7 linked regions of the Xenopus tropicalis genome follow. The protein of the gene in region 1 interacts with the protein of each later gene in a pairwise test. Links are inferred from orthologs where the notes say so. Each region holds a gene or a part of one and is shown in the gene's direction. Other genes may lie near its edges. The genes, in order: trim23, lgals8, gem, arhgef3.2, ube2i, nek6 and trim29.

Region 1 (3,500 bases):
AGATTTGGGGCCTCCAAAAAAAAGCACGGAGAAAAGCCAGTCAGGTCACTTCTTAAGGTTACCTGATGGTCTTTTCTGGCCACATACACAAATAGATGACAGACTGGCAACAAAATGTGCATTATTATTCTCTATGCATTGCCTTTAATATCACTAATGGCTTGTAGACACGCTTTTTGGGATATGCTTGGTTTAAACATCTCGCAATCCTTATTCTGTACCATTGAATAGGTTCCCGGAACCGCTGAGAATGCCCGGTCCTGTGTCAGAGCCTATTTTTCCGACCTACATGAAACACTTTGCCGCCAGGAAGAAATGGCCCTCAGTGTCGTTGATGCCCATGTGAGAGAACAGCTAATGTGGCTTCGGCAGCAGCAGGAAAACATGACTATTCTCTTGTCTGAAGTGTCAACTGCTTGTCTGCACTGCGAGAAGGCTCTCCAGCAGGTATCCAGCACTTGTGAGCATTCCCAGCATGCCACACCTTGCCTTTGCTAAAGGACTCTAAGGAAACACTTTTCTGCGTATTTACACTGATACATATGGTTTCTATATGTATCCCTTTTGGGCTTCACATTCAGTTGGATTTATAAAGAAGAGTCGTAACATTGGTTAGAACATACAGCATGCTAGCAGCTTGTCCAGAATACATGATAATATCACAAACATATAAGTGCTTATTTATCAAAAAGGAAAACTTGTTCGAATAAAAAAACTTGAATATCTTAGATTTTTCGAGTTTACAAACTCAAAAAAGTGAGATATGGCCTGGCTTTGCTTATGACTCCTATTGACTTCTATAGAAACTCGCAAGCTTTTAGATGGCTTTCGGGTTTCATGCACTTAATAAATACCAGACATTTGAAAAAATCGAACTCAACTGTTGTTAAATTACCCCCTAAAGGCTCTGGCACAGGGGGAGATTAGTCGCCTGCGAAAAGGTAAGTCGTCGGTGGGATGGCACACGCTGGGCAGGCGATTTTGGCAAATCGGCGAAGTTGCCTTGCGAGGCATTTTCGGTGATTTGCCGAAATCGTCTGCGCAGCGTGTGCCATCCCACCGGCGACTTACATTTTCGCAAGTGGGATGGTAGTTCGGGGAGATTAGTCGCCCGTGACAAAGGAGATTTGTTGCAGGCGACTAATCTCCCCGTGTGCCAGAGCCCTTAGAATTAGTTTAACACTCCAGCATTTTTATTTATTTTTAATAGTCCACAGAAGCAAGAGATTCAAAGAGAAAGAACTTTTGCTGTAATTTATGGCAATGGCTCGGCTAAAGCAATCAGTATGGTTTCTCCTAAAAAAATATATGTGTATATATAATATTAAAAGTGACACCCATTATTGCTGTGCCACAGGATGACTGCAGAGTGGTGCTTGCCAAGCAGGAGATTACGCGACTTTTAGAGACTTTACAGAAACAGCAGCAGCAGTTTACAGACCTTGCAGATCACATCCAACTGGACTCCAGTATCCCTGTCACATTCACAAAGGCAAGTTGTATCCTATAATGTCTTTGGGCAAACTAAACCTAACTTTGGGCATTCTTATTTCATATCATACGCTGCTGCAGTGTAAATATCTCTGCAGTAAATCACATCGACAGGGTTATATTTTGGAATGTTCTGTAGCATGATAGGGGAGGTTTTTACAGACTAAGGGTGAATATGGTGGTACACAAGCTGGAGGAATGCCAGACTGGGCTTTGGGATGATGATTTTGTTATGCTGAAAGTGAAAATGAGTGAATTCAAATAAAATGTGTCCTAAAGTGACTTAGCTCAAACACAGGCTTCAGTATAATAGAGAATGTGTGGGTAAATATTAGGATTCAAAGAAGATGTAAACTTTATAACTGCAAAATAGCTAAAAGTTTGGCTAGGCAGGTAGATGACTAGATTGCTCTCATCCTTCTACTTACCCCACCATATTGTTTGTTCAGAAGACTCGCATGTGATCATAAAAATCCATCAGAAAGAGGTGATTTGTATGCTGAAGCAGGACTACTTGTGTCTAGGCTTATGTTCTTGTCTGTTTTGTAATAGTAATGCAGGGACATGTTGATGCTTTACAAAATTGAAATAATATTTTGCCCTTTAATTTGCAGGATAATAGAGTTCATATTGGCCCAAAAATGGAAATTCGTGTTGTGACATTGGGATTAGATGGAGCAGGAAAAACCACCATTTTGTTTAAGCTAAAACAAGATGAGTTCATGCAACCCATCCCAACAATTGGTGCGTAGTGTCTCCTAGCTATTGGCTGGTCTCAAAACAAATATATATATCTAGATTCTGTAAATGACATGTACTAGGTTATAAACTTCCCTGTAGGGCAAATGTATAATAAGACCTTGTAGTTATTGTGTCTGTCTGTAAACCTGTGTGTAAGTGAAAGTCTTTCCCATCTGTATCTGTAACACACTTCTTCAGCAGTAACTGAACTACAGGACTTTCAGCAACTCCCTGCATATGTCAGGCAGCTTCCTATCAGGGGTGCATGAAAATCGCTATTTCCATAGTTACACTGTAATACACTTTCAGTGAGTTGTGTTTCTTGTACTACAATAGTATGAGCAGAGATATTTATGACCCTGATACCTAGTTACAATAATATTCTGAAATGCTTTTTGTTATTTGCAGCTATCTTTGTTCCCAGGGTTACTTATAATAACTAAGCTTTGACATGCTGCTATGGAGATCAGTGCCTCTAATGAAGTGGTTCCCATACTGTAGGGGTGGCCCACCTAGGGGGAACCAGATCCATGGCAGGGGGCCCACACTAAAGGACAGTTAGGCTTAGATTTGGGGAAGAATGGCTCTTTATTATTCTAAATAAATGATTATATATACTGTATATTTACCTTTAATGGCACATATCCCTGTGCTTGTGAAGCAAACCATTAACCATTCTGCTTGCTCTGTAGGGTGCACTGACTGCTGATACCTACCAGTGACAGGCTTTGCTTGCTACCACAGTTTCTAGTTGCACCTTACTGTTTCTTTTTGTGGTTTACAGAAATCTTATTTTTTTAAAGGTTTTAATGTGGAGACTGTCGAATACAAAAACCTGAAGTTTACAATTTGGGATGTTGGAGGCAAACACAAACTTAGGCCACTGTGGAAACATTATTACCTTAATACCCAAGGTAAGGAGGCCATGTGCTGCTAGGCACTGCAGTCTAATGCTGTTTGGCCTTTGGCACATGTGCTGTGCTACAGACCAGATTAACAGTTTGGGTTCCTAAATGTTTATAAAGCAGTGTTTAAGTAAGTTCCCTAAATGTCCCTTGAGACTATTGTCACTCTTAAGAAACTGGCTTCTTTTTATAGTCTCTCCTGTCAGCATCACTAAAGTACTAGCGTACTTTATACCCATGACCATTTGATTTATGGTTGCTATGGGGTGTTTCTGCCGTATTCTGCCTCTGGGCACCTCCTGTATTTAATGCTCTTTTTCAATTCTGTTGTTATGTTCCCAATAGAAAACCAATTCATGACAA
Region 2 (3,331 bases), on another chromosome or scaffold:
ATTAATTCAATTGGATTTTTATCTCAACCAGTAAGTATGAATACATATATTTCCACCCATAGGAATGGGTTAATTGTGCCCATACCTGCATGTATTTGTGAAGCACATGTATGTAACTTATCCATTACCATTGTCCTTTGTCACCAGTATTCCCCCAAATAGCAGGTAATAAATGCAGTAGAAATAGAAAAATGCCCATGCAGTGGATGTAATGAGGTTTTACACCCTGTGTTTTAGCAACAGTGAGTGAATGCACATGGTTTCATGGTGGCTGATGCTTTCCTGACATGAATATAGCAGCCACCCGTAACACAGTTGTCCCCCATGCAGTATTTATTTGCATGTTTCCACCCTGGTTAAAGCCTCTCATTTTTGGTTTCAAGGTAATGATATATGTAGCATACAGCATGTAAAGATAATACCTCCTGTTTTGGGAAGGTTTTTACTGCATTTTATGCATTGTTGTGGGCTTTTTGGCTTCTTTTAGCCCATCTCAGCCTATTCTTTAGGGTTTGTCCATTTGGTTGGTTTTCAAGGCCTCCTTCTCGGAAGCCATGCTGCAGGACTTGTATTAATGAAATCGAAAAATATTGGAACAGGCTGTCTGCTATTGTTTTCCCTAACCTGAATGTGGGCCTTATTAGCTTGCACCTCTTGTAAGGGAAACAAATACAGGGTTATATGTGCACTTTAAGTCATAACTTGCTACTAAAAGTGAGGGGTCATTTACAATACCCTGGGGTGCAAGTGCTAGGGTGCTAAGGTTAGTGCTCACTTAAGAGCCTGAGTAAGCTGCCAGAAGGCACACCAAAGGCAGGCGGTAAGGTTGTGCAGGTTAGACCAGTGTTTTTCAACCTTTTTTGGGCAAAGGCACACTTGTTTCATGAAAAAAATCACGAGGCACACCACCATTAGAAAATGTTAAAAAATTTAACTCTGTGCCCAGCAGCAGTGCCCCCCTAGTACATTGGTGCCCAGCAGCAGTGCCCCCTAGTACATTGGTGCCAAGAGCAGTGCCCCCCTAGTACATTGGTGCCCAGCAGCAGTGCCCCCCTAGTACATTGGTGCCAAGAGCAGTGCCCCCCTAGTACATTGGTGCCCTGCCTACGGCACACCAGGCAACATCTCGCGGCACACTAGTGTGCCGCGGAACAGTGGTTGAAAAACGCTGGGTTAGACCATGCACATCCTGATAGGGGTGATAGGGGCAGGTGTATGTCTGTGTACTACCCTCTGCCTGCCCCTCTTGGTTTAAGATCTGCCTAACACAGGCAGCACTTGATTCAATCTGCAGGCTACAGGTCTCGGCTACTTACACAATGCACCATGCAGTGTACAAAGTGCATAGGTTGTTGCCTTTTCATGTACTTTGCATTTTCCATGGTTCATTGTAAATGACCCTTAAGATTTTCATTGTAATAATGTACAAAACCAGTTTTGTTACTGAGAAATATCATTTATTCTGTGCTTCATTTTGGCTTTTTGTGTGTATTGTATGCTTGCCATTTGCTTTTATGAAAATATTCTTCGTTCATTTTAGACAATTCTGGGTTCACAGCCAACATCTTTTGCTGTAAACAGCATAGAAGGAAATCAGGTAAAATAGTTTAGATATTAAAATAAAAGACAGGACTTCATATGCTGTTCTATCTCTCATGCTGTTGTTTTCTTTTTTAATTACAAACAGGGAAGATCAGAAAAGCTGCTGACCTTTGTAAGTGCTTTTGAGCAAGGAAATAACATTGGAATAAAATGTTTCGTAATGATCTCAAGCCATAACAATTTATTTATATATTAACCAAGAGCCATGAATATCCTGTTTCATGTTTATTTGCAAAGGACTGTCTGGGTGCCAGGTCCCCTTTAATGCATCCATTTTTGCTAAACAGCAGTTTTAGCTCTTTGTAACTAAGCCTAATGTGTAAAACATGTAACTCGGCCAATCACCACAGGTATGCTTGGAAAACAGACTTGGTTGAAGAAAAGCACACCCTGTTAACTGTTAGGAATGGGGAACTGTTATGATTTTAGGGGGTTGAGAGGCATTACAAATAATTTGTTATTAGAGAAAGTTTGGATTCTAAAAGTTTGTGCTAGTGCCAAATAGCCTGTAATATTAGTCACAGCATGTAGCTGTCCAACCTGTTAGGGAAATGTAGTTAACCAGTAACTAAATGTGATGGAAGTTGCAGTTACTGAGTCACCCAGACATAAAAAGCTGTATAATAAAAATTAAATGATAAAAAATGCAAAATAAACATGAAGCCCAAATTCTTTTTCTTATTAAATCATCCATACCTGTTATAAATATGTTAAAAGATCTGAGATATCCTATATTGCTTTTCCATTCAGCACTCCCTATATATCCCTCCAGTCCTCACATTCCCTCTCCCTCCTCACACCCTAAAATTGTGCAGCATGAAAATGGGCTTCAGGACCTCCATTTTCACACATTTTTCACAAGATTTGGGGGTGATGCCAAACTTGCATTAAGGGGGTAGTTCACCTTCAAATGAACATTCAGTATGTTCTTAGCAACTTTAACAAGATATAACAAGATATAAATCATTTTAGTTTAAGTAAAGTTTATTTTGCTCAATTTAATGATATTTAACATTTCACCAATAAACATGTAAGATGTGTTGATTTGTGCACAGTTCTAACAAACATACGTGACCCTAACATATTCTCTTTTTTTTATTTAGTCTGTTCCTTATACAGGATGCCTTCCTAGTGCTCTCATCCCTGGGAAGACTGTGGTCATTAAAGGAGAAGTACACAAGTATGCTAAGAGGTGAAACCCTTTTTATACAAATACTAAAGTAAATCAAAAACCTTTGTGAATCATGTGCATTACCACACATTTTCTTCACTTTCTTACTAATGGCACTTTACCTTTTATTCTGTCCACTTACCCACAACAATCTACCAGATGTATGTTTCCAGTATATAGTTTGTATTTTAAAGGGATCTGAGCCCAAATAGGAATTTGATCATTCTGCCTAATATTGTTTTATTAGCACACACTTTTTGAGGGTTTTTGGCACTCTGAGCTCACACACATTCACACACACACACACACACACATGTATATGATATATACATACACAAATATACTTTTTAAAATATTTTTGTATTTTGTGTTATTTTGCCCCCCCAAAAAAGTTTATTACACAGTGTTGCAGTTTCAGTTTCTCATTTTTTTTCTGCTGTAAGCAGTTAATTGTATTGTGTTTTGTCCTCTTTAACCCATTAATTTTCATTTGAGTTAATTTCACTATTGATCACTGTTCAATACAACAAATAAGAAAAAAACAAAACATTTTTGTTT
Region 3 (4,036 bases), on another chromosome or scaffold:
AATGTTGGCATGCCTAAATATCTGTCATTATTTACATCAAGGAGGTCTAACTTGCAGCATTTTTGCAATTGTGAAACCCCAGTCGAGAAAAAGAACATGATTATAATTTATTTTGCTGCAAAAATCAAGCACAAATAATAATAAATCAGCCCCAAAGAAGCAATGTAGTCATAATGTATATTTAAATGTACAACAGCATGGCCTAGAGCAGCATAAAGAGTAAATCCTCTGTGGCTACATCACTTACAAATTGCCCACCAGGTAGTGTATTTTTTATACAGGTATAGGATCTGTTATATGGAAACCCATTATCCAGAAATCTCCGAATTACGGTAAGGTTGTCTCCCATAGACTCCATTTTAATAAAATAATTCAAAATTGTAAAACATATTTCCTTTTTCTCTGTAATAATAAAACAGTACCTGTACTTCATCCCAATTAAGATATAATTAATCCTTATTGGAGGCAAAACAATCCTGTTGGGTTTATTTTACGTTAAAATGATTTTTTTTAGTAGACTCAAGTTATGGAGATACAAATTACAGAACAATCCATTATCCAAAAAACCCCAGGTCCCGAGCATTCTGGATAATAAGTCCCATAGCCAAATACGCAATGTGCTTTTAATGTAACAGCCACCCCCAAAATATTTTAAAGAATTACTACCCCTATTGGGTTTATTTAATGTTTAAATGCTTTTTTTTTTGGAGATCCAAATTACAGAAACATTCCTTAGCTAGAAAAAACCAGGACTTTAGGATCCTGGATAACAGGTCCCATACCTGTACTCGAACTAAACATGGCTGGACTCTCTATGGACCCCTGCACAGGTAATAAAGACAGAGTAGGATTTAGGACACCCCATTATTGTACCACCCCCACACAGCTAATGTATTGCCCCATTCTATTTGTTCCTTAATTCACTGTAATTCATTTCCAAGTTGCTTTGCTGCCATTCTGGACCATATAATTTTACTGGAAAATGAATGAGTGGAGTTCTAGTGGCTAAATGATTTCTTGCTGCCTGTGTGAGTGCACAGGAGGTTCCGCTCCAGCCTCCCCGGCCACTCTCCTGCTGCAGTGGGCTGGTGTAATGCTCATCGTGACATCACGGAAAAGCCCTGTCTCCCAGCCACCGAGCTTAATATAAACCAGAGGAGCTGAGAAAGAATTAGAGAAAGTCAGGGAAACGGACAAGCAGCACTTTATCCAACTATTCTATTCCCTGAGAGATCTCTCTATTCTACACTCAGGACTCCAGGCTCAGGGGGAGAGTATAAGGGGACAAGCAATAAAGGTAAGTGCTTCCCAAAATGCTCATTTATAGATGAATTCCTGTGGAGTATAGTGATCAGATACACTTCTGCTATGAACAAAGCCAAACCAATCTCAATAGTTATATGGAATGGCACACACCAACTAAATGTTCATAATATTCATAATTACTCCCTCGATCATTATCATTGTGTGTATATAGTACAGGTATCGGACCCCCTTATCCGGAAACCCGTTATCCAGAAAGCTCCGAATTACGGAATGCCCATCTCCCATAGACTCCATTTTAAGCAAATAATTCAGAATTTTAAAACTGATTTCCTTTTTCTATGTAGAAATAAAACAGTACCTTGTAATTGATTCCAACTAAGATATAATTAATCCTTATTGGATGCAAAACAATCCTATTGGGTTTAATTAATGTTTTATTGATTTTTTAGTAGACTTAAGGCATTGAGATCCAAATTACGGAAAGACCCCTTATCCGGAATACCCTTGGTCCCGAGCATTCTGGATAATGGGTCCTATACCTGTACTATCAATTGACAGCATGCATTAGAATCATTAATACAGGGGTCTTATTATGATGCACAGAATTGTGGCACTTTAAAGTGTAATTTGTTGGGAAAGGAATAGGTTTCATGTGCTTGGCATACAGTTTAATTAGAGCAAATTGTATATACAGGTATGGGATCCATTATCCAGAAACCCATTATCTAGAAAACTCCAAATTACAGAAAATTCTGCTCCCATTTTAATCTAATAATTCAAACTTTTAAAAATGATTTTGATGATTAATGATTGATGATGATTAATGGTTCATTTTTCTCTGTAATAATAAAACAGTACCTTGTACTTGGTCCCAACTAAGATATCATTTATCCTTAATGGGGGCAAAACAATCCTATTGGGTTTATTTAATGTTAAAATTATTTTTTAGTAGCTTTAAGTCATGGAGATCCAAATTACAGAACAATCCTTTATTCAGAAAGCCCCAGGTCCCGAGCATTCTGGATAATAGGTCCCATACCTGTATTGTGTACTGTTCGTAAAAGGAAAATTAAAGCTATAATAGTGACAATAAAAGCACATTGCATATTTAGGTGTAACAGCCACCCCCCAAAAATATTTTAAAGAATTATTTTTGCATTGTTTTAATAACATTTTATATGAAAGTTGGGCTTAAAGACAACAAATCTTTGCATGCCATAATGATTGATAGAGCTGCTATCCAAATAACTGCAAACTGTTTATTATTCTATATGTAACTGCAAAAATTCGGAATGAGTTTCTGGGGTGCTGCTAGGTCTGCGCAAATAACCTTACTAAACATGGTAGTCGATTGGAGCAGTGTAATTTGCACCCCAGCAGCAAAGCGCGACTCTCAGATGCCACAGCAAGCCATGTTTAGACAATAGAAGCCTAACCTCCTTGACTGAGCTGATTTGTTGATTTAAACACTGTGAATTTATGGACCTTTTATTGAACACGTGTGCGGCCACTAGTGGTGATCCTGGGTACTGACAAAGCTGGAATTCTTTGAGGGGCAGCTTTGTAGCACAAGATCCTGGAGACTCAATAGTTTGGGGATCCAAATCCCTGCAATAAGATTTGTGTTCTGGCTGTCCCAGACTTGCGGTGGGTTGCTAAACACACAAATACTTCTAAAATATTTTATCAAAAATGGCAGCCAGAATTTGCACTATAATTGTTGTTAAACTACAATTCCAGCACCCACCAGCCAAAGGGAGTTGCTGGTAGTTGTAGCTCACCAACTACTGATGGGCTGCAGGCTGAGAAGCACTTATCTTAAAGGAATACTGTCATAGACAGTTAATAGAGCTTCTCCAGCATTGAGTCCTGCATTGACATCTGGTTTTTTTTTGCTAGAAAAGTGCTGCAACTTTTACAAGTTTTGTTACATTGTCCCCCACAGCCAGAGAACGATGACTTTGAATGTGACCATGCGTCGCAGCAACACCACGGCCAATGTACAGCAGCGATGGAGCATCCCGGCTGATGCAAAGAACATTCACGCTCAGAAAAAGCAGCACTCTAACCTCACCCGCAAATACACCGCCAATAACACAAGCATCAATAACTCAGCGGAGTACTGCCGGAGAAGCTGGTCATCTGACTCTTCCGACTCCGTCATCTCTTCTGAGTCTGGGAGTACCTACTACCGGGTGGTGCTGATTGGGGAGCAAGGAGTTGGGAAGTCTACTCTGGCTAATATATTTGCAGGGGTGCCTGATTCTGTGGATGGTGACTGCGATATGTTAGCAGGTAAGGTCACAATTAATGCATCCAACAAACCAGCCAACAGCTAGCCTTCTTTAAATATAATGTTGTTTGAGTTCCCATGTAATATGGCCAAATATTGGACGCCCAATTTGCACAAAACTCCCAGCAGATCTGGATGTCTGAAAACTGTTCTTACTACTAACTACTAAGTTTGGACAGATCTACTTTTGCTATGGACACCAACCACCACTAAAACTGCCCTATGCTGTCTTGTTATACTTGTCTTGTTTCACTTGATAAAGGGCTTTGCCCAAAACATGTAGTGGAACACACTAATAAACACTAATTGCAGCAAAGCCCTGCAGTGTCAGGTGTCCTCCATTATCTTATATGATGTCTACATGCAATTAGTGCTACAACAGGAGCACAGGAGTGATAGCCTGCTTGAATGAGGTAGCTGAACTGGAATACTGGATTTGGAAAGTTTTTGTTATATGGTCTAAACAGTCTGGTCTCT
Region 4 (3,500 bases), on another chromosome or scaffold:
CATCTTGCCCTGCTGTCTCCATCTTGCCCTACTGTCTCCATCTCGCCCTGCTGTCTCCATCTTGCCCTACTGTCTCGCCCTACCTGTTATACCACAATCTCACAGTCTATTTCCATCTGGTGTGCTGCGGGGCCCCTTTTTGGAACCCCTTTAGGCAGCTCGGCTAAGCATAACACTAGGATCGCAGCTGTGCCCTTATTATACACAATGAAATAATGTCTCATTTTGAGGCAGAAGTGGAAGCCAGAATTATTTGACTAAATCGCGCTGAGTGTTACACTGAGCTTTTCTCTGTGAAGAGGAAAAAGAAAAAAAATCCCATAAAGCCGCGGGTCCTGTGATGTGTTTAATTTGGAGTAGGACGTACACCTTGGTTGGCTTGTTTGACTCAAGTATCCCTGTGTGCCATATGGTTGTGTTTTGGGGGCCGTACAAAGCCGGCATTTATAGCAGAGCGGCCGGGGCAGGACGGCGCTGACCTCATCCCAGGCTTTGTTTAATGGGGAGAGCGGCCGATTGCGTGACAAGAACTTATATTCTCCATATTCTCAGTGGCTCGTAATGTTCCCACCTTCCCCAGCCCTGACCTCTCTGCTTGCCGTTCAGGGAACTGCCATTTAATCCCTTTCCACTGAAGTGGTCAAACGCCTCCCCCCCTGGAAGAAAGGGTTTATTGGTTACAGTTGTGAGCCCCCAGTGTACTCGGCAAATGATGTTTTGACTAGACGGCCCTGCAACGTCACGCACACAGCTGTTCTCTCTGGGCCCCGAACCATGGCTTTCTTTATACTAAGGATTTAGTGCAGACGTTTTCACAGCGAGCGATTTTCCCAAAGCTGTTTCCACTTACAATCGGCAGCCTGAGAATATGCGGCCGAGGGTTCCCTGAAGCTTATTTGCACAGGCCCGGCGTTGGGGAGAATCCTGCAAAATGACAGTGAGATATGGAACTGTGCGGCCCTGCGGCTGTTCTACTGTATTGGCTGAAAGTGCAGGGAGTTATAGTTTAGCAACAACACAAGGGTGGCATGGTTAGTATTGAACTGTAGCTGTTTGAGTGTCAAGGCGGAAGCCATATGGGGGAACTAAGGTCTTGGCCCAGTTTCATCTAAATACTAAATGGATCTGTGTTGACCAACTGAAGGCAAAAGTCTGTTTATAGAGAGCCCTATGCCCACCCCTGTCACACCCAATCACAATGTGACATATTAATGTGCCCACAGACTAATAAACCAATCACATCACTTATATTCCTCACTATACACATTGCAACAACATCCAACATGTGGCATTGTGGCCACATCCCCATTTAGTCCTGGCTCTGACCAGTATATCTGAGATGCTTTTCGATGTGGGAAGTAGGAGACTGTTACTATGGTCGACCAGGAAAAAAAGGCCCAAAACCAGGCGGCTCAATATCAATTCAAAAGGGTTTACTAAACCGCCTGGTTGAGCCGTCTGGTTTTGGGCCCTTTTTTCCTGGTCAACCATAGTAACAGTCTCCTACTTCCCACATTGAAAAGCACCTCAGATAAACTGGTCAGAGCCAGGACTAAATGGGGACATGGCCACGATGCGCCCAAAAACCACTACAGTGTTTATGCATTCCTTCTGGCCTTCCCTTTCCCTTCCTCTTTCTAATTGGGCAGACAATAAGCCTTCAGCTATTGGTAGACTGGGACCCTATTATACCACATATAAACATCTTGAGCCCCAACATAAACTCCAGCCCAGTCTACACTTGCATAATCAGAAACCATTAAAAAAGCAGTATATACTATATTACCATTTCAAAGCCATACTTAATATGCGACTGTAGCAGCCAATTATATGTTGCCTCATTATATGTGCTCACCCCATCACTGTTTTACGTTTCCAGCGCTCCATCAGTTTCCGAAGTGACAGCCGGCCTGATTTGTTCACCCCGCGTCCCTGGTCAAGAAATGCACCCCCTCCGATCACCAAGCGCCGAGACAGCAAGCTCTGGAGCGAGACCTTTGATGTCTGCGTCAATCAAGTGCTCACATCCCAAGAGATCAAGAGACAGGAGGTAGGCTTAGGCCCCTCACCGAATTACTTCTTGTTAAAACAAAAAAAATCTTGACATATTGTGAGTGGGTTTCTTAGCATGTGTCGGTGGCAGTCATTACATGGCAGCTGGAGAAAGGAATCGCACATCAATCAGTTTAAACCCCCAGTTCCCACCTAGTTTCCTCTTTCATCCAGTATAATACCATAAAAGCCACAAATAACCTGAAATATAATACATATGCATATAATCATGGTTTAGTGAGGTCACTAGAGTCAGATAACTGAATGAAATTTTAGTATTGTGAAGGAATATAAGGATATTAGAAGTTATGTTGGAATTTTGTGACCATTATATCAAATATTGGAAGAATACCCAAGAGTAGGGTTTACTAATGGTATCCAAGAACAAAAAAATACCCAAGAATAGGGCTCACCAGTAGTATCCAAGAAGGAAAGAACACCCAAGGTTCATCCAGTTCATCCAATGACATCCAGAATTGGAAGAATACCCAAGAGTAGGGCACACCATTGGTATCCAAGAACAACAGAATACCCAAGAGTAGGGCTTGATAATGGTATCTGACAACAAAAGAATACCCAAGAATAGGGCTCACCAAGGGTATCCAAGAACAAAATAATACCCAAGAGTACGGCTCATCAAGGGTATCCAAGAACAAAATAATACCCAAGAGTACGGCTCATCAAGGGTATCCAAGAACAAAAGAATACCCAAGAGTAGGGCTCACCAAGGGTATCCAAGAACAAAAGAATACCCAAGAATAGGGATCGCCAGTGGTATCCAAGAACAAAAGAATACTGAAGAGTAGAGCTCGCCAATGGTATCCAACAAGGGCAGAATACCCAAGACTAGGGTTCACCGATGATACCCAGAATTGGAAAAATGCCAAAGTATAATGCTCACCAAGAAGGGAAGAAAACCCACAAATAGGGCTCAACAGTGGTATCTGAGAATAGAATAATATCCCAGTATTTAAGGAAGGAAGAATACCCATGCCAATAGCAGATCTGCTTAGCAGATACCATTAGTGTGCAATATTCTTCAGTATACTTCTGTTCTTTACACAGTACCCTCGTCTAAATTGTTATGTTTCTTTATCCAGATTACTAGATTGATATTTGTGTACCTGCTATTAATATTCGGGGGGAATAACTAGCAGCCCCCCAGCAGCCGCTCATTGGGAGCTTGATCCCAAGTGTAAAACCCTTGCACCTTCTTCAAATGAAGTAGATTTCTTAGTTAAACAGGGGGGGGAAGTCCCTACTAGCAGGTTATCTGTGACCGTAAGGCACTGCTTTGTGGTGCGCCGGAGGAGTAAAGGAGAGGAAGTAGAAGGTAGGCACGCTATGGTCTGGTTTCCTGTAACTCAAAGCGAGATGAGCCTGTTCTTCAGTTATCACACAGGAAGCGAGAGCAGCATTTTTTAGGTGTTAACATGTACCTGTGAATG
Region 5 (4,205 bases), on another chromosome or scaffold:
GAACAGAAGCCACTGTATGTGCTGGCTAATGAATTCTTGTGAGTGGCTTGGTCATGGAGTCGGTAATGGCTGGGACAGCAGGGGGCGCTGTTGGTATAATGTTCATAGCCTGTATGCCCTAAAGTTTACCCAATAAATTTGCGATATCATTGCTTAGTGACTTGCAAGCTGTTATTTTGAGACTTTTCCATCCTTGCCATACATCCTGCTATTTACTACAACCATCCTAATAATAATGTTGTAGTTTAGTGGTCCCCAAATTCTGGGGCTTCTCAGGGAGGGAGGGGGGGGGGGCATGGGGTCAGCTTGCCGGCACGCGTGCAGCATGGAATTGCTAAAGTATTAATTTTCATGCCCAAATCTACCTGTCAGCGCACACGTAAAGGAAAGGAAGGCAACAGGTTGGTTTTCTCTGCTGGCATACCATGCCACCGCTGAACTTGGCACTTGTGGTCCAAAAACTGTCCAGTTGCCATAGCAGAGCACAGCAAACTCTTTGCAGTGACAGGCAGCCTCTACTCTGAAATGCTTGCTTTGGCATAGCCCGCTGCTGCCAGTGCCAGCACCCATAACCATAGGAAGAGCATTACCCAGTGTGTGCTGCAGCAAGCAGTGCCACACCTTTGTGTGAGTTTTGACCTCAGAGGATGGGAGTGGCAATTATTGACGGCTCCAGATGAGTTTTCTGGGTGATTCCTTTTGGTACATGCGTCACCAAGTGACAGAATTCAGAATTTAATATTAGTTATGCATTGGAAATGTGTTGATGTAAATCTCAATATGAAGGAAAATCCTTGTGGGTGGGGGACTTAACTGTGACAGCCTACTCAATGCTGGGCCAGGAGCTGCCATTTACACATTTGGATTTGCGCTTACCGCACTAATATGCCTTTTATATGCGCTCTTAGACTGTTATACCAAACAGCCTGGGAAGCATTGCAGGGTTCCTTGTACAGTGTTTATGATGTGCAAGTAGGGTGTATCTTGGATTATTATCCTGATATCTGTGGTACGTATAATATAAAGGGTTACATTTATATTATGCTGCAATGGTCACAAACCGTAATTTTGCCCCATGAGGTAAGAATACAAATACTCCAGTGTTAACAAAACTCTACAAAATGACATTTACCTTTTAAAGTTGCTCTAAGAATAATATATGTTTACACTAATGTGGAAAAGTGGTGGTTTTACTGCCTTTACAGGACGCATTAATGCTTTTGACTCTTTACTGCCTCGGTAATAAGCATATACGTTTCATATTCAGATTACTAGAGTTCAACCACTAGGTGTCACTGTCATGCAAGTTTTTGGATACATTGCAGTAAGTTTGCTTATTTTCTGTTTAAACTATGTTTGGTTATGTATACTGTTATTTCACCAGTATTAATTTCTTTTCTGCAGGAACCCTGAAATGTCTGGCATAGCCCTGAGCAGACTTGCACAGGAGAGAAAAGCGTGGAGAAAAGACCATCCTTTTGTAAGTTCAAGAAAGTGAAAAACTAACCAGAACAGTGTTCTCTTCAAGAAATAGTATAAGTAGTTTAAAAAAAAAAATCCTAAATTGTTAAACTGCCCTGCCCTTTTAAGATGCAAACAACTTAAAAACTAATACTTTGGGGGTTTTTTTCTTATCTATTTTAAGGGTTTTGTGGCAGTACCAACGAAAAATCCAGATGGCACAATGAATTTGATGAACTGGGAATGTGCTATTCCAGGCAAGAAAGGGGTAAGTGTTAGAATCCTTCCCTGAAACAGCAGTACAGAATTTCTACCTAGCAGTGCTCCCTTGATACCATAAAATAGCCAAATAAGTGAAGCAACCTTCTGCAACCTTGCATAACCAATGTACAACCTTAACACACTTACATTCAGGTGTAGCTGCAGTTAGCAGGTATTGCACTTTGCTTGGTTACAGGATGCACCATTGCCTGGCACCCAGGGGCTGTGACACATGCAACCCTATGGAACACTCGAAGGAAACATGCAGGGGGGGCAGTTTTATATCCTACATCTGATCACATTACCAGCTTGTAAATGCTGTTTAGGTGTAAAAGGACAACCTTTCATGCACTGAACTAACACGTATGCACTATGCTACATGTCTGAGGACAGATTATAATGGCTGTGGATGAATCCTAGGCCATTAAAATCCCTTGAAGGACCACATCCAGCCCATGGAGCTTAAAAATATCCACTAAACCTCCTGTTTATTGACTTTGGGGACTGAAATGCCCCAGGGTCTGCAAGTGGAGTGAGGTGAATTGTGATTGGCAGCAGTTAGGTTTGCTGCACTGGGCTTAATGGAACCCATCTGAGCAGGGCAGCAAAATAGCTTCTGTGTTTGGTGCTAAAATGACGCTTGGTCATTTAAACATGATTTACTCTATTTATACAAATGTTTCCCTTTTAAATAAGCCACAACTACCCATCTGCTGTGTGACTACATATTCCTCAGGGGAGATGAAGGGTTCAAACTCTCTAGTGGCTGTGTGAGCTGTAATAAACACTACAGACTGCAATAACATGCAATTTCACTTCATGGCTCCTCCAGCCAATCCTCCTTACCAGGAGCAGGAATGGTTTGTTTTTTTTGCAATCTGTCACCATAGTACCTGCAAAAATATTTTAAAAAAGACTAGAGTGAAATTGGTGACCTATGAAGAATATTGTCTCTTGGAGAGAAAAAAAATAGTTTAATGTCCTGGTTATGGACTATATTAAATCTGTTTATAAACCAGTGATTCTACCCATAACTTATATCTGCAATTTCATTTTTTCTTCTTCTTGCAGACCCCTTGGGAAGGTGGCTTATTTAAATTACGGATGCTTTTTAAGGATGATTATCCCTCCTCACCTCCTAAATGTAAGTGCCTTAATTCCTAAATCCCTTCCTTTAAAACCAGTGCTTCTCTTGTTAGAAGCATGTGTATAGGGCAGGGTGATGATTGCCTATCCCAAGGAAATGGAGATAAAAGATTGGCACTGTAATGCTCTGAAGGCTCATTCCCATGATGCTTTACCTTAGAAATTGCTCTGTTTTTGTTTTTTTGTGCTGGTGAATAATAGATTCAAGGCTCTCTGAGTAAACTACATGGTCAAAAGTATGCTGACACTAAAGATTCGGCAGCTAATCGGCCCGTGTATGGGCAGAACCGAGCGGCCTGGCCGACCGATATCTGGCCTGAAATTGGCCAGATCTCAATCGGCCAGGTTAGAAAATCCAGTCGGATCGGGGACCGCATCGGCTCGTTGATGTGGTCCCCGAACCGACTGCCCCATGCCCCATACTCGCATATATACGGTACATAGATGCTGGTGAAATGCGATCGCTGCGCGCGCACCTACACCCCTTCCTCCGTGGGCCACCTGCACGCGCGGCATCATACGTGCAGATTCAGACATGCGGCAATGCTCAGACGTGCCTGGATACAACTGCTTTATGCATAGGAAAGTGACGAGCAGCGCCAGCATCGGCTACTCACCAGGAACGAGCACAGTCAGGCACCGATGCGACACGCATCGGCGGCGGTATCAGACCGCCTATGGATATGTGACAGCAAGTGTAAGAAATGGCTGTAATATATATATATATATATAATATTATAAGTCCCCTTTCCTAACTGGCTCCGTCACATTATGAACATGGGCATAAAGACATTAAAATTCTGAAGTGTGTCAGCACTGCTCAAAATTTGCTCCCTTGATCCCATGTCCTTTTTCTACTTAAAGGGATATTATCATGATTTTGTTTATTCTGTAATACTATTACACTGTGCGCTTTGCAAATAATTCCTCCTACCATTTCAAACTCCAGCTAATTTCAAACTAATTAATGTTTGGTTTTTTTGTCATCAATCTCAATTTATTGTGCATGGTCGTTTGCTTGCAGTATGTTCTTCAGACACTACTGACTGGTATTCAATTCTTATCTTATTTTTCTCCTTGTCTTCTTTTAAAGGAACAGTAACACCAAAAAATGAAAGTGTATAAAAGTAACTAAAATATAATGTGCTGCTGCCCTGCACTGGTAAAAGTTGTGTGTTTACTTCAGAAAGTCTACTATAATTTATATAAATAAGCTGCTGTGTAGCCATGGGGGCAGCCATTCAAAGGAGAAAAGGCACAGGCACATAGCAGATAACAGATAAAACACTATTGTATTCTACAGAGCTTATCTGTTATCTGCTATGTAACCTGTGCCT
Region 6 (4,230 bases), on another chromosome or scaffold:
GTTTGACAAGCAAAATAATCTTCACTGACACTATATAAATAATATAAATTATGTTTCCTTCAGTCTAGGAATTACACAATCACAGCAAGCAGGCAGCTGCCATTTTGTGGGCAGTTATTAAGGCAAGCAAATTCTAGTTTATGTGCCAGAATGGGGACCTAATGCCCATGCTCATGTACTGGCTACATAGTGAGATGGTGAAGAGGAAGGGGGAATGTGAGTGTCAAATAGAAAGTGAAGGCAGGGCCGGAACTAGGGGTAGGCAGATGAGGCAGCTGCCTAGGGCGCAACGATTGGGGGGTGCCAGGCAGAAGCCTCGCCTGCCTACCCCTAGTACCCGGTCAGCTGTTGTGCGCCGTGCTGCTTTGCATCGCACACTGCGCCGGGCCCCCCCCCAGGCGTGAACTGCGCATGCGCATCAAAACACATGGGGGGGTGCGTGATGTAGGTGCAGGGGCGAGGTAGCCGACCGGGTTGCCTAGGGGGCCCGGTCAGCTCGGCCCGCCCCTGAGTGAAGGTAATTGTCTGCCCTGCTTCTATGCCTAAGGCATAAGGGCGGGGAAGGCAATATATGATTGACAGCTGAGATTTCTAAATGCCTTTATAATGGGTATGTATGTGTTTAACGAATAAAGGAATTAGGGTTTCATGTTTACTGTGAAAAAAAACTTTTATTATACAATTTTTATGACTGAGTGACAGGTCCCCTTTAAAACTGCACTGTGTAGAAAAAAAAGTGTTGTTTTTATTTAGGAGTGATATTTTGAGGGAATGGATACAAAGCGAAAACAGGCAAAATTTCCACCGTCACCTCACGTTTTTTCAAATGTAGGTATGCTTTGCGCCCTACGTTGTAAATATGGTTGCCACCTTTTCTGGAAATAATACTGGTCTTCTTATATTTTAAACCGTCTTCCCTGTAAACATTTGCAGCAAACGATATCCAGATAGCAACTCTAGTAATAAATGACCCTTATAACCAGAGAACTGAAATGCATAATAAATTCCAGCTTTCAGTAACAATTTTACTTTAAGAGTCATTTCCTGTGGCCAGGTGGCAACCACAGCCAAAAGGGAAATTCAGACATTTCCACAAGGACTCCTACTTCAGCACTGTCACATTTCTCATGCAGTAGGAGCTTTTATTTGTATAAGTACCGGCTGCACATCCGCAAGTCAGCCCAACAACAAACTGCAGGAGTTCCTACTATGTGAGAAAGTTACTTCCAAACAATGAATTGGTAGTTGTTTTAAAATGGATTCTAATTGGCTACTTTTTATACACAGCCAATGGCGTCTTTTGTGCATGACAGACAGCCAATCAGGAGCCCTAACTCTAGGCCAATAGAAGTGCGCATTGCATCCTGCGCTTACTCCAGTCAGTCCGCTTCTCAGGGAGGCTTAAGCCTGTCATTGCTGCAGAGATGACACTGAGCGGGCAGCGCTAACAGGAAGCGGGAGCTTTGGGGCAGAGTTGAAGGTATGTCAGACCGACGCTACTTTCATAAAGTTACTTTAGCAACAGGTGGAACAGTGGGGATTCTGGAATGTCTTTTATCCCACTGTCCTCCCTGACAGAGAGCAGCTGTGTGCAATTCTGTGTATAGTAAGTTATCTCTCCCTGTTTCCTTTTCCCTACTTTCATCATACAAGAAGCGGAACTCTTATCTGCTTGCAAAGCTGAAGGGTCCCTAATAGTAAATCAAGTAAAAGCATTTCCTACTGTACTTTGCGCCTTTAAGTGTGATGTTAAAATGCGATGTGTGTGCGCTGCTCTGGCTATCAGCTTGGGCAACAGATGTGCTGGGCAGGGGGGTCATTTTCTGCAGAAAGTTAGGGGATTACTGACACTTTTCAGTTGATGTTTTGGTACTGGTACAAGTATGGGACTTGTTATCCAGAATGCTCAGGACCTGGGGTTTTCCAGATAAGGGTTCTTTCCGTAATTCGGATCTCCTACCTTAAATCTGCTAATAAAATTATTTAAACAGTAATTAAACCTAACAGGATTGTTCTGCCCCCAATAAGGGGTAATTATATCTTAGTTGGGATCAAGTACAGGTACTGTTTTATTATTACAGAGAAAAAGGAATCATTTAACCATTAAATAAACCCAATAGGGCTGTTCTGCCCCCAATAAGGGGTAATTATATCTTAGTTGGGATCAAGTACAGGTACTGTTTTATTATTATAGAGAAAAGGGAATCATTTAACCATTAAATAAACCCAATAGGGCTGTTCTGCCCCCAATAAGGGGTAATTATATCTTAGTTGGGATCAAGTACAGGTACTGTTTTATTATTACAGAGAAAAGGGAATCATTTAACCATTAAATAAACCCAATAGGGCTGTTCTGCCCCCAATAAGGGGTAATTATAACTTAGTTGGGATCAAGTACAGGTACTGTTTTATTATTACAGAGAAAAGGGAATCATTTAACCATGAAATAAACCCAATAGGGCTGTTCTGCCCCCAATAAGGGGTAATTATATCTTAGTTGGGATCAAGTACAGGTACTGTTTTATTATTACAGAGAAAAGGGAATCATTTAACCATGAAATAAACCCAATAGGGCTGTTCTGCCCCCAATAAGGGGTAATTATATCTTAGTTGGGATCAAGTACAGGTACTGTTTTATTATTACAGAGAAAAAGGAATCATTTAACCATTAAATAAACCCAATAGGGCTGTTCTGCCCCCAATAAGGGGTAATTATATCTTAGTTGGGATCAAGTACAGGTACTGTTTTATTATTACAGAGAAAAGGGAATTATTTAACCATTAAATAAACCCAATAGGGCTGTTCTGCCCCCAATAAGGGGTAATTATATCTTAGTTAGGATCAAGTACAGGTACTGTTTTATTATTACAGAGAAAAGGGAATCATTTAACCATGAAATAAACCCACTAGGGCTGTTCTGCCCCCAATAAGGGGTAATTATATCTTAGTTGGGATCAAATACAAGGTACTGTTTTATTATTAGAGAGAAAAAGGAAACCATTTTTAAAAATGTGAATTATGTGATTAAAATGGACGGCCTATCCGTAATTCGGAACTTTCTGCATAATGGGTTTCCAGATAAGGGGTCCAATACCTGTACCCTGTTGTGGCCAGTGTGGTCCTGAGGCCAATGTGTATTCAAGGGAATTGTACCCCTATGTTGCAATAGAAACTACGCTCAGTATTGCACCATGTTGGCATTTTTCACCAGGTAGAAAAATTTATGTCTTATTGTACAGTGCTGCAGAATATGTTGGCACTTTATAAATAAATGTTAATAATAATAAATAATAATGTTTAAAAGTGATTGCACCAATTTCTGTGTATACAGTATACTTGACAAGGACTAAGTTAGCCACCTTTTTGTGTATATTCCTATTTTATAGCTTTATTTATGTTAAATGTACACAGCTTTTTATGCATATACAACCCGGCACTGAGACTGTGTGTGCGCATTTATTCATGAGTATACACTGCTTTACAATGAGTTGGACAGAGTGCATACTGTCTGCACTGAGTATGTGCACAACTTTTTATGCATATTTACCTAACGCTAAATATGTGCCCAAATTACTGTCTTGCAAAGAGTTGGGCATTTCTTTTTCTGGCTGGTCCTGTGTCCTACTTGGCACTGAGTATCTGTGCAATTGTATTGGTGTCTTTGCTGTTTGGCACTCAATTGGGCACAGCTTTCTGTGCCCATACAAAGTGTTTGCACAATTTTCTCTGTACATACAGCTGGGTAATGAGTTTTGTGCTGCATTCTGTACTGCCTGGCACTGAGTGGCTGACAATTTTTAGGTGTACTTAATGTCTATTGCTGACTAGGCCACAGTGTTCTGGGTCTATACTGCCTGCAACTATTACTTTGATTTCTGTCTATAGTGCTGTTTTTGTCATAAGGGGAAGTGGAAAACTTGACTCATGTATCAAAAAGTTGCAAATTTCAAGTGAATATTTTCATTTACCTTAGACCAGTGGTTCTCAACCTTCCTAATTCCGCGACCCTTTAATACAGTTCCTCATGTTGTTGTGACCTCCAACCAAAAAATTATTCCCAAGACCATTGGAAATATGTGTTTTACGATGGTCTTAGGTGACCCCTGACCCACAGGTTGAGAACCACTGCCTTAGACCCTAGGCTGGTGCTTCTGTCTGGTGAAAAGTGGTGCAGTTTCTTTCATGATCCTCTGCCCTAGAGATCCTCTGCCCTATTACGATAGTGCTCA
Region 7 (3,500 bases), on another chromosome or scaffold:
ATCCCTTGCTAGTACACATTATCTTTAAGTTCAACAGGACCTTTGCGTGGGACTCAGCTAGTAAAAACTTTCATTTCTAAAAGAACTTGCTTCCTTTAGAGGGAATCACCCTTTTAATTTTTCACTCTGCCAAAATTACACTTTGCCCTCAAAGTAATCACTCTTTCAAATGTTACAGTTCTGGAAAATAGCCAACCATCTAGTTTCTCTTGTAAATAGATGCCCAATGTTTATTAATATTCCTCCCTTAAGGTTATTATCCAGTGCTTTTCCTAAATCATTTCATCTCATGGCATTTCAAAGCTGATACTCCAAAAGGTTAAAACAGATTGTATAAATATGTCGGTCTGCACTAGAAATGTGCAGCAAAGTCTCCCAGCTTGGTGCCTGAACACCTTGCTAAATCACAAAAATGCTATTACCTTTCAAATCATTTCTCAGGTGAAGAGATCAGCTGTGCTTTGTGGCTAAAAAGCCCCACAAAGGCCTGTACATAGTAACTGTATCTTCAGCAAAAATGAGCAAATCTCTTCTCTAGGAGTGAGATAAAGATCCAGTGAACCTAAACATCTGCTCCTTTGTAAAATGTAGAACAATTTGTTAAAAGCTATTCTTTTAGAGGAATACAAATGCACAATATGCACAGTTGGTGGCTTGCTTTATAATAGCTGCTAAGATTGAAAAATAACTTGTCTGAATCTCATTCTGCTTTAATTATATTTTTGGGGCACCACAGAAGGTACCAAGTTAATTTTAATTCAAATCCTTAGAAGTTTAAGAATAAGATGCATAACTGCCAGTGCTGTCCAACTTCTGTGGTACGGAGGGCCAGAATTTTTCTGGCCTAAATGGTGGAGGGCCAATAATGGAAGTCAATTTTGACCGCTCCCCGTTTTTAAATTGCACCCACTTCAAACCACACCCATAATATCACAAGAGCTTTTAAGACTATACCCACATTACTGGTGGTAGCACAGCAAGAACTCAAATGGTTGGTGCTTACTGTAGAGATATCAGCCTTCATTCATATGTGAAAGGATTATATTATGTCATATTAAAACATACATTTAAACCCTTATGCCTCCTCTTCCCCTGTGGATAGCATAGCAACCCCCAGCACATAATTATACACCTTAGGGACCATATAATGACTATTTCCAAATGTTAACAAACTCCCAAACAAAACCTGACCAAGTTCACCTCCCACAGGCAGCACAGGGCAGGCAGAGTATGGAACACACAGGCAGCATAGGGCAGGGAGAGTATGGCACACACATGCAGCATTGGGCAGGCAAAGTATGGCACACACAGACAGCATAGGGCAGGCATAGTATGCCACACACAGGCAGCATAGGGCAGGCAGAATACTCTGCCTTTGTGTGCCATACTATGTTTGCCCTACCCTGCCTGTGTGTGCCATACTATGCCTTAGGTGTGAACAATGCAGTGCTTGAACAATGCAGGGACTAAAATGTGTGAACAGTACAGGGGATTACATGTTTAAACAATTCAGGGGTTTACAGCCTGAATCTGAGGTGTGAAAAATGCAGGGGGCCAGTTAATCTCAGTACTGATTCTAATTAAACCTTACACAAAGGTAAGTAGGCACAGCAGCCACATCAAACACATCAAACACATAAAACAGCTGTTAGATTAGACAGGAGCTGATGTTGCAGGGTCTCGACAGGGCTTTATGATGGTCATTTTCTTCTTTCTCCCCAGTTTATAAAATTAGTGATGCTAATATTTTAAACATTTTTTTCTTTCTAAAGGAGTTTCAGATAGTGATCAGAAATGCACCCCCAATCCCTCCATTGCCTACCTATACAGTTACATTGGATGGAGAAAAGCTGACTCATGCCATGGGAAGTTTGAAAGAGGAACTAGCGGCAAACTGCAGGAAACATGTAGATAAATACAGCAAGAATGAGGCATCAAAGAATTTGGTTGAAAAGAATGGTAAGAACCCACGAGCACAAACCAGTAAATAAAGTCAAACGAGAGAAAACAGCAGATCCAAGCAAATACCCAGTAACTGGTATTATGCTGAGGGAAAACACCAGAGAAAGGACACGGTGCATTTTATATTTACTTTATGGATATGTTTAAAATATATTCCTTAGCATAAATATTAAATGCCCCGATCACCCTTGAACTCAATATTTCTTTAGTGCTTCCATTAATGTAGCTGTAAGGGTGTATATGTCAATACAATATTTTCTGGTAATGGGTTGCTGTTCCCTACTCATTAGGTACTACACTCTTTTAACTTCTCTGTTGCTCTCCAGTTGCAGCATATTTATGCTTATAAATATATAAACCCTCCTAATAAATACCAGTGGGAGAGTAAAGCGTACAGGCTTTGTGCCCTTGAACCACATAGACCTTTGTAGTTCATATTTAATGAATCCAGCTTTGTACAGTTCATGCTCATCAATTTGTGCGTGGAGCAGTGAAAATCTATTTTTTTGCCAGTAATAAACAGCTATTTAAATCTGCTGTTCTCAATTTCTCAGGATGTTGCACAGAACATAGGTGGCATGTGGGGGACTTAATTGCTTTTTCTGAAATTTATGTCAACGCTAGCAGTTATTTCCTTGGCATGCTGTTTCTTTATTAACCAAGTCACCTCCCTTTTTGGAAGACACCAGAAATGAAACAGATTTTTCATAGACTTTTGCAATATTGTTCTTGGAAATTGAACTGTGACCTGATTTGACCGTAGTGATTTTGCATAAATTTGCATCTATATACATTTGTTTATAGATATTATTTGTGTCATGAAATTCCATAAAAAAATTCCAATACAGCATTTAAAATAAAAACTGGCTAATTATAAGCTGAACTTACTTATAAAGTGTGGGCATTTCCAAAGCAATTTACAGAATATAATGTTTCATAAAAACAAATGACACTGAAAGTTGGAATAAAGTGAAACAAATAGACAAAAGGCACTAGAGGGGGCCAACTGACTAGAACAAAGTATACATGAAAATAAGAATGCTTGGTTTTGAGAAATTACACAGGGATATACAGCTCACACCCAAACAACTAGGCAGCTAGATTAATGTTTATGAATGAATAATGTTTACAGTGTTAAAATTATACTGTAAATTATATTCTTAGAAAATGTAACTTACTTAAATGGTGCCTATTTATGAAGTGTAGCAGCGGGATTCTCCGGTGGTTTCCACGCATATTTAAATCATCTCACTTTTGAGCTTTAAAAACTTTCCATGGGATGTTAAAGTACAGAGGTGCTAAAGTACAGGTATGGGATCAATTATCTATAAACCCATTAACCATCTATAGTCAGGCTACTATTTTTTTTGTAGCCTTACAGCATTTGGTTCCAAATTTTGGGGGGAAAAAATCAGCAGAAAACAGTAGAAACAGCAGCTCCCAAGCATTCAAGATAATACTACTGTACTACTTTTTGTGATAAAATATAGCTATGTAATAAAATGCAAACAAACTCCTATAATTTTAATAGCATTTAA

What was found.
Region 2: the proteins of trim23 (region 1) and lgals8 interact in binary tests that used the Homo sapiens proteins (3 or more experiments, as listed by UniProt). The link is inferred for Xenopus tropicalis from reciprocal best matches to the Homo sapiens genes TRIM23 and LGALS8.
Region 3: the proteins of trim23 (region 1) and gem interact in binary tests that used the Homo sapiens proteins (3 or more experiments, as listed by UniProt). The two-hybrid records come from large-scale screens. The link is inferred for Xenopus tropicalis from reciprocal best matches to the Homo sapiens genes TRIM23 and GEM.
Region 4: the proteins of trim23 (region 1) and arhgef3.2 interact in binary tests that used the Homo sapiens proteins (3 or more experiments, as listed by UniProt). The link is inferred for Xenopus tropicalis from reciprocal best matches to the Homo sapiens genes TRIM23 and ARHGEF3.
Region 5: the proteins of trim23 (region 1) and ube2i interact in a two-hybrid assay, tested with the Homo sapiens proteins (3 studies listed by BioGRID and IntAct). The link is inferred for Xenopus tropicalis from reciprocal best matches to the Homo sapiens genes TRIM23 and UBE2I.
Region 6: the proteins of trim23 (region 1) and nek6 interact in binary tests that used the Homo sapiens proteins (3 or more experiments, as listed by UniProt). The link is inferred for Xenopus tropicalis from reciprocal best matches to the Homo sapiens genes TRIM23 and NEK6.
Region 7: the proteins of trim23 (region 1) and trim29 interact in binary tests that used the Homo sapiens proteins (3 or more experiments, as listed by UniProt). The link is inferred for Xenopus tropicalis from reciprocal best matches to the Homo sapiens genes TRIM23 and TRIM29.

What each region holds. Positions count from the first base shown.
Region 1 is NC_030677.2:187,794,819-187,798,318, forward strand, and holds part of trim23 (E3 ubiquitin-protein ligase TRIM23), read left to right. Parts: intron 1-231; coding exon 232-447; intron 448-1,357; coding exon 1,358-1,492; intron 1,493-2,105; coding exon 2,106-2,235; intron 2,236-3,035; coding exon 3,036-3,146; intron 3,147-3,500.
Region 2 is NC_030681.2:41,510,304-41,513,634, reverse strand, and holds part of lgals8 (galectin-8), read left to right. Parts: coding exon 1-30; intron 31-1,540; coding exon 1,541-1,597; intron 1,598-1,687; coding exon 1,688-1,714; intron 1,715-2,705; coding exon 2,706-2,794; intron 2,795-3,331.
Region 3 is NC_030682.2:127,877,549-127,881,584, reverse strand, and holds the start of gem (GTP-binding protein GEM), read left to right. Parts: upstream 1-1,236; 5' UTR 1,237-1,297; intron 1,298-3,211; 5' UTR 3,212-3,221; coding exon 3,222-3,561; intron 3,562-4,036. UniProt on the Homo sapiens protein: Could be a regulatory protein, possibly participating in receptor-mediated signal transduction at the plasma membrane. Has guanine nucleotide-binding activity but undetectable intrinsic GTPase activity.
Region 4 is NC_030680.2:148,936,559-148,940,058, forward strand, and holds part of arhgef3.2 (rho guanine nucleotide exchange factor 3), read left to right. Parts: intron 1-1,879; coding exon 1,880-2,050; intron 2,051-3,500. UniProt on the Homo sapiens protein: Acts as a guanine nucleotide exchange factor (GEF) for RhoA and RhoB GTPases.
Region 5 is NC_030685.2:28,777,798-28,782,002, reverse strand, and holds the start of ube2i (SUMO-conjugating enzyme UBC9), read left to right. Parts: upstream 1-1,405; 5' UTR 1,406-1,414; coding exon 1,415-1,480; intron 1,481-1,645; coding exon 1,646-1,729; intron 1,730-2,793; coding exon 2,794-2,866; intron 2,867-4,205. UniProt on the Homo sapiens protein: Accepts the ubiquitin-like proteins SUMO1, SUMO2, SUMO3, SUMO4 and SUMO1P1/SUMO5 from the UBLE1A-UBLE1B E1 complex and catalyzes their covalent attachment to other proteins with the help of an E3 ligase such as RANBP2, CBX4 and ZNF451.
Region 6 is NC_030684.2:29,296,823-29,301,052, reverse strand, and holds the start of nek6 (serine/threonine-protein kinase Nek6), read left to right. Parts: upstream 1-1,430; 5' UTR 1,431-1,480; intron 1,481-4,230. UniProt on the Homo sapiens protein: Protein kinase which plays an important role in mitotic cell cycle progression. Required for chromosome segregation at metaphase-anaphase transition, robust mitotic spindle formation and cytokinesis.
Region 7 is NC_030683.2:79,169,478-79,172,977, forward strand, and holds part of trim29 (tripartite motif-containing protein 29), read left to right. Parts: intron 1-1,772; coding exon 1,773-1,959; intron 1,960-3,500.